2 linked regions of the Canis lupus familiaris genome follow. The main gene of each other region encodes a partner of the protein of the gene in region 2 in a complex. Links are inferred from orthologs where the notes say so. Each region holds a gene or a part of one and is shown on either strand. Other genes may lie near its edges.

The links.
Region 1: the proteins of NLRP5 (region 2) and OOEP are in contact, whole or in part, in a cryo-EM structure (PDB 8H93), measured with the Mus musculus proteins. The link is inferred for Canis lupus familiaris from reciprocal best matches to the Homo sapiens genes NLRP5 and OOEP. Residues at the interface, in NP_035990.1 of Mus musculus: Glu173, Leu176, Leu195, His196, Gly202, Leu206, Asn322, Leu325, Glu326, Tyr337, Ile338, Leu339, Val340, Glu341, Gly342, Leu343, Ser344, Ala345, Ser346, His373, Asn625, Gln626, Asp652, Ser655, Glu661, Leu662, Cys663, Pro664; in NP_080756.1 of Mus musculus: Ser26, Leu27, Arg28, Leu29, Arg30, Thr31, Arg32, Ile38, Val41, Asn43, Tyr48, Met49, Leu75, Leu86, Glu88, Pro95, Thr99, Lys102.

The regions. Positions count from the first base shown.
Region 1 is NC_049233.1:35,686,943-35,690,125, reverse strand, and holds OOEP (oocyte-expressed protein), read left to right. Parts: upstream 1-1,360; 5' UTR 1,361-1,414; coding exon 1,415-1,604; intron 1,605-1,970; coding exon 1,971-2,150; intron 2,151-2,516; coding exon 2,517-2,596; 3' UTR 2,597-2,655; downstream 2,656-3,183. UniProt on the Homo sapiens protein: Component of the subcortical maternal complex (SCMC), a multiprotein complex that plays a key role in early embryonic development.
Region 2 is NC_049222.1:102,609,042-102,613,086, forward strand, and holds the start of NLRP5 (NACHT, LRR and PYD domains-containing protein 5), read right to left. Parts: upstream 2,842-4,045; coding exon 2,731-2,841; intron 1,651-2,730; coding exon 1,606-1,650; intron 1-1,605. UniProt on the Homo sapiens protein: Component of the subcortical maternal complex (SCMC), a multiprotein complex that plays a key role in early embryonic development.

The DNA.
Region 1 (3,183 bases), on a different chromosome or scaffold from region 2:
GCCTCCCACCCAGCTCATTCTCTCTCAAATAAATAAATAAAATCTTAACATAAAAAGATTTCTAGATATGCACTATAAAAAGTCTAAGAACATGCATGGGATTATGCACAACAGCTTCTGGACAATGTTTTCTTGTCGGGAGGGAAAGGAAAAATGCTTTATGTGGTGTATATTTTAAAGAAGAGAGAGGTGAGGCAAAGGTGGGAAAATGTTAGCTTCTTGTCAAATGGGGATGGTGGTGGGGATTGTTACATACGTATTTGTTATATAACTTTTTGAATGTGTGAAATCTGTCATAATTTAAATTTTTGACTAAAATTAAGAACACTGAGGGGCCCCTGGGTGGCTCAGTTGGTTAAGCGTCTGTCTTCAGCTCAGGTCACGGTTCCAGGGTCGTGGGATGGAGCCCCCAGCAGGCTCCCTGCTCAGTGGGGAGTCGGCTTCTCCCTTTCTCTTCTCCTCCCCCCTGCTCATGGTCTCTCTCTCTCTCACTTGCTCTCTATCTCAAATAAATAAAATATTTTTTTTAATTTTTTTTTATTTTATTTATTTATGATAGTCACGGAGAGAGAGAGAGAGAGAGAGGCAGAGACATAGGCAGAGAGAAGCAGGCTCCATGCACCGGGAGCCCGATGTGGGATTCGATCCCGGGTCTCCAGGATCGCGCCCTGGGCCAAAGGCAGGCGCCAAACCGCTGCGCCACCCAGGGATCCCAAATAAAATATTTTAAAAAATAAATAAAATTAAAAATACTGGGCAGAAATGTACATCAACACTAGCTGATTTAGGATGTTGAAGACAACGGAATCGGTCTATAGTTCCTACATGTTCCACCTCTGACATTTCTATTTCAAAACACGACACGTTTGCTTGAATGATTTTGAAGTAGTAACCAAACACATTGTTGGGAGACAACAGGGAGGAGAAGGGAGAAAATGTAGACCCGACGAGCCTGCCCTCCGCCTGATCCACCTGCCCACCCACCTCTGGAAGGTGAAGCAGAAGCCGTAAGGTAGGCACGAAAAGTGATTCCGGGTCACGAGGCCTCCGAGTCAAGCCGCGCTGTCAATCAGCTCTGCGCTGGGCAGGGCTCTTTGAGGCCAGGTGATGTCTCACTCACCTACCTGGAGACGACCCCAGGTAGCCTCTGAGGGACGGCTCAAGCAAGCTCACACGCACGCAGGTTCCAGAACCAGGAGGAAGCCCCGGGGCGGGGGTGGGGGCTGGCTCCCCGGCGCCCCGCCCGCCACTGCCGCGGAAGCGAACGGGGTTCCGTTCACCCGGAACCGCCCGCGGGGCCACAGGAAGAGGCGGGGCTGGCCGGAAACCGTAAAAGGGGGCACAGCTTTCGTGCCTCCCTGGTGTTCCGGCGGCGCTGTCTGGACCCTTCTCTTCCCGGGCTGCCGGACCTAGCATGGTCGACGACGCGGGTGCTGCTGAAGTTTTGGGGGACGAATGGAGGCCCGCCTGGTCCCTGGACAGGCTGCTCCGGGCACCACTTCCACCACCGCGGATTCGCACCCGGCCTTGGTGGTTTCCAGTGCAGGAGCTGAGAGACCCACTGGTGTTTTACCTGGAGGCGTGGCTGGCTGACGCCATCTTCGGTGAGAGACCCCGCGGAGCAACTCTACGGTCTCTGCCGGATTTGCAGGCCACGTTAGACTCCACGATGCCGACCTTCCTTCCCCGGCCAACATTCCCTTCAAACCTAGCTCCTACTCACCTTCGACCATGTTTCTTTTTTTTAAGGATTTTATTTATTTATTCATGAGACACACACACACACACACACACACACACACACACACAGAGGCAGAGGGAGAAGCAGGCTCCATGCAGGGAGCCCGACGTGGGACTCGATCCCCGGATCGAGGATCACGCCCTGGGCCAAAGGCAGGCGCCAAACCGCTGAGCCACCCGGGCTGCCCCCCGACCATGTTTCCCTTCAGAGTCTCTCTTTTCCTGTTTAGGCCCAGACCGAGCCATAATTCCAGAAATAGAGTGGATGAGCCAAGTCCTGCTGACGGTGGACGTAGTTAACTCTGGAGACTTAGTTGAAATCAGTATCTTCGGATGGCCCCGTGTACAAAATCGGGTGAAGAGCGTGCTCCTGAGCCTGGCATCTTGGCACCGGAAACATCGTGCCAGAGGTGAGGGTCTCTAAAAGCCTGCATGTGGAGGGAGCCCCCGGTGAACCACCTGGCGGTACCAGGCTTTCTTCCAACCTTTATTACTTAACAAAACTTTTTGCAGTTTCCTAACTGCAGTGTTCTATATGCAACCCCTGGGCATCCCTTTGTAGAGAGGAGTCCAAGTAGGACCTTGGGAAAGTAAACGGAAATTGAATACATTCAGGCCTGTCGTCACTGCCCATGCCCCCTCAGCTTGGTTTCACCACTATTTCCAGATTGTTCAGAGCCCCCACCTGAGAAGTGATGCTGCTAGCATCTTCCCTCCTCCCCTACTCCCCTCAGTGATGGAGTAGTTTGGAACAGAAAGCATTTTTCCTTATCCAGCTGAGAAGATGAAACAACTTGAGGAGTTCTTGAAGACTGGTGGGACAGGTCCCCAAACTCCTGAGCATCCTGTTGCATAAGTATTTTCAGGAGCATTGTGAGAAGCAGCCCTACTTCTACTAAAGTTCAAGAGAAGCAAGTATCCATAAGTCTCTGCATTCTTTTTTTTTTTCCTGTGTCTTGATGGGTAATGCTTTGATTATTTTGGTGCAAAAGTCTGTTTGTAGTGTCATTCTAGTAAAGAAGTGAATTTCCTTTTTGTCCAAGGGCATAAAGATCTTTACTCACTTAAAATTAAGCAAAAGATTGATTCTGTTCCTTCATGTCTTGATGTGAGGGGTGGGTAAAAGGCTGATAGGTAGTGGTTTTATTTTTGTCTTCTCTTCTACCATTTTTATAAAAAAGATTTTATTTATTTATTCATGAGAGACACACAGAGATACATATAGGCAGAGGGAGAAGCAGGCCCCCTGCACAGAGCCCAGTGTGGGACTGGATCCCAGGACCCCGGGCTCACTGCCTGAGCCAAAGGCAGACGCTCAACCACTGAGCCACCCAGGCATCCGTGCTTCTACCATTTTGAATCTGGTAACCCATATATGATTTTTTTTTTTTTTTTTTTTTTTTAACCCATATATGATTTTATGGCCAGAGTCAGGCCCTCAAG
Region 2 (4,045 bases):
CCATGCACCGGGAGCCCGACGTGGGATTCGATCCCGGGTCTCCAGGATCGCGCCCTGGGCCAAAGGCAGGCGCCAAACCGCTGCGCCACCCAGGGATCCCAAAAAAAAGAATTTTAGAAGCTAGTAGAAATGTATTTTAACAACACAGTTCTTACCATAACCCATCTATGAAGGGCCAAAAAAGAAAAAAAAAAAAAAAAAAAAGACTAGGGAGAGAGTGAGCCAGGTAAACATTACTGACAATGGGAGAAGTTTATGTGATTACTTTAAAGAACATCCACTTTTCTGCACATTCGTATATAATATTTATGAAGAATACTGACCATATTGGTGGAAAAAGGGAAAAATACTTATTTCTAAGAACATGCTAAAGAGGTTACATCCTGGGGTGCCTGCATGGCTCAGTCGGTTAAGTGTCTGCCTTTGATTTCAGGTCACGATCCTAGGGTCCTTGGATGGAGCCTCTCCCCCCCCGCTTCTTGGGGCTCCAGGCTCAGTGAGGAGTTGCTTCTCCCTGCCCCTCCTTCCTGCTCAGGGGTGATCTCTCAAATAGATAAATCCTTAAAAAACAGTTACATCCTAACCACAGAGAAATTGCAATTTTAAACAAAAAATTCCTAGTTTTCCCTCCCAACATAAAACAACCTGGATACATAGGGATTGAAAACCAAACAAAATAACCCCCCACCCCAAATCTCCCAACTGTTTGGTTAAATGATTAAATGAATATGGGAAGCTCAATGAAAAGAGAATGAACTTCAGATTGCCATACTTGAACACTGATACAGACACAATTTGAATTCAACATTTGCTATATGGCACAAAGCAATCACTAGAGGGATTAGATAAACAAGAGAATCAAGGTTGTAAAAAACATCCACAAAAATCACAGTGGTCTCAGGAAGATTATCTTTAGGATGAGATGACTGACAAAGTTTATATGTTCAGAGCAAAGAGTAAGTAAAACTACAAGTCGCAAACCAAAAAATTAAATGAGTACTTCCCTAAATCCGTTCTTAGATACCTCATAGCAACTCCTTTGAACTTCCCATAAGTAATGTCAACATACCAAGAGTATTATTACGTTCGCTTTACAGAGTTGAAAGCTGAGGTTCTGTAAAATTGAACAGCTGTTAGGAAAAAGCGTCCTAATGCACACCTGATCATAATGCTCCACCTCTTCCAATACACCCCAGAGAGGGAGCTGATAATCAAACCCAACTGAGTAGGGAGGAGCCCAGCTGGAAGGACTCGCCTCGGATAGGCAGATGGACACCTTCTCCTATAAACCTGAAGAGGGTTTGGGGAGAAGGTAAGGACATTATTCTCAGAGAGGCAAGATTGTAGGTTGGAAGGTTGTAAATTAAGAGTGGTGGTTAAGGTTATTTTCTGGAAATGAAAGACTAACCAAAGTGCTCGCCCTCTAGTCTCTATCTTTTATAACCTCTACCTGCAATAGCTTTCTGCACAGGGGTCTTGAATGATGCCATAGAAGCAGTCAAGATTACAGGGCTGGGGATTAGTCACATGCAGTCCTGAATAGGAATTCCTCCCTTGCTACCCCAGGCAAAGCCATTTAATTAATCTGTGACTCAGTTTCCTCACTTGACAAAGATCATAAGGACCGTATAGCATTTCAATAACCATAACCTATAACACAGAATTAGCACGATGAACACAGCAATACCCCTGAACTTCCCCAAGTCCAGACATCAGCCAGACTTTTTTTTTTAATTTTTTAAAAAATTTATTTATGATAGTCACACAGAGAGAGGGAGAGGCACACAGGCAGAGGGAGAAGCAGGCTCCATGCACCGGGAGCCCGACGTGGGATTCGATCCCGGGTCTCCAGGATCACGCCCTGGGTCAAAGGCAGGCGCCAAACCACTGCGCCACCCAGGGATCCCTCAGCCAGACTTTTTAAAAAGATTTTGTTTATTCATGAGAGACACACACACAGAGAGGCAGAGACACAGACAGAGTGAGAAGCAGGCTACCCGCAGGGAGCCTGATGTGGGACTTGATCCCTGAACCTAGGATCACGCCTTGAGCTGAAGGCAGTTGCTCAATTGCTGAGCCACCCAGGTGTCCCCCCAGACATCAGCCAGTCTTGAACTTGAAACCATAGCATTCTTGACTCTGTTCTTTATTTTAGACCTAGAGACTGGAAAGGATTGAGGAACGTACCATAAGCAAATGTGAAAAACACTTTATTCAAATGGGTGCAATGGGACACATCATTCTTTCAAAAAGGGTCTTTGGTCCTTGGGCTCTGGCTAGTCAAAATGGTGAGTGTGGGGGAACAGAGCAAAGCTCAAATAATAGATCCTAATCAGTCACAGGGAAAGGAGAGAGGAAGGCACTAGAAACAAGATGGGATAAAATACTCACCAACTCACCGAGTTGCCTCCCAAACCAGAGCCTGCTCCCTGGCTCACGGGCAACCACAAGCTAGTGATGGTCTTTTGGGAATCCTGGGCCAGTGACGTTGTTGCTTCCCATTGGCTGCCCTGGGCTTGGAATGGCCAGGCCCAGCGTACAATGTGGAACAGCTGCTTTCTGTGCCTATCTTTATGCTACTGGTGAAGATGCTGCCTCCCCGTAGCACACCTGCGCCCAGCCTTCAGCAGGCTGTCCCACAATGATAATTGTGCGTGTGTCCTTATTTTACACAGTCTGCATTTACTGACCACAGTCTGATGCCACACTGCCATTTTTTGTTTAATCTACTTTCTCCATAGAACTTTTATCTGGATTCCCTGTGAACTCATAGTAAGCATTCCTGTCTGTTGTCAGAATAACGTTTTCTGAAACAATGTTCTTGCCTTCAAAAGTGTCCATCTTGGGTGACAGAAATATGAGCCACTTTGTGCCATGAGTCTCCACATTAATGGTGGTCTCCTAGAGTTTTTCCTCTCCCCCGCAGCTTTATTGAGATATGATTGACAACACTGTAAGTTTAAGCTAGAGAACATATTGAGACATTGATTCATTGCAAAGTGATTCCCAGCTATGCTAACAGATAGCTCCTACTTCAGCTGTTCCCAAACTTCACCCCAGGTTAGAATCCCAGGGGGAATTTTTAAAACCCGTTGCCTAAGCCACACACTATTCCAATTGAGTCTGGAGGTGTGAAGCCCCCATTCCCCAGCTAAGACACTGTACCGTACCACAAAGCCTGGGGACACTGTCATACCTTCAAGCCCGGCTCTTCCCAAGGTACATTCCCCTATTGCTTTAGCAAAGGAGTGTCTCCAGGGCCTTATGGGGTACGTGTCAGTGAGTGGATTCTCTGGCTTTCTATTGCCCATCTCTGAGCCTCATTCACTGTAGACTGTAGTGGTGGTAGCTCACCATTGGCTCCAGCTGTTTGACATTGATGGACCTTTATTTTTCTCTACTCCTGACATAGGGGTGGGTGAGGGGTTGAGGATCCCAACTGCTCTGACTTTTGTAATGAAACCCTTTTGGAGAGCAGATAAACCAACACAGGTGATACCTGATCATTATACAGCATAGAAAAAGATGATTTTTCAAAAGAAAAACGATTATATGACTGCTTCTAGATCTTTGAGTTCCAAATGCTGTTCTAACTACTTCAATCATGAATGGCATAGTTTAGACCTGAAAGAGTTTAGTCTGTGATGTACAATCCCTCCCCATGAGGTTGGAGGGGAGATCACTTGCATGTTCCTATAGCTTCTTGACATCCCGTGGACCAATCTCCATAGCAAGGCTCTAGTTCAGCCTCCTGTGTGTCCAAGAAACCTCTCCTTGAACTTATTCTATTGCATTAATGCACTAAACTCATTAAAAAAAAGCTAGGAGTCATATTTAATTTTTAAAGAGAGTTCTTTAAATATGAAATGAGGGGTACCTGGATGGCTCAGTTGGTTGAATGGCCAAATCTTGGTTTTGGCTAAGACCGTGATCTTGGGGTGATGAAACTGAGCCCCGTCAGGCTTTGCACTCAGCACAGAGCTTGCTTCAGATTCTTTCCCTCAAGTGCACTCTCTCTCCCTCAGGAAGTAAATAAAATCTTTTT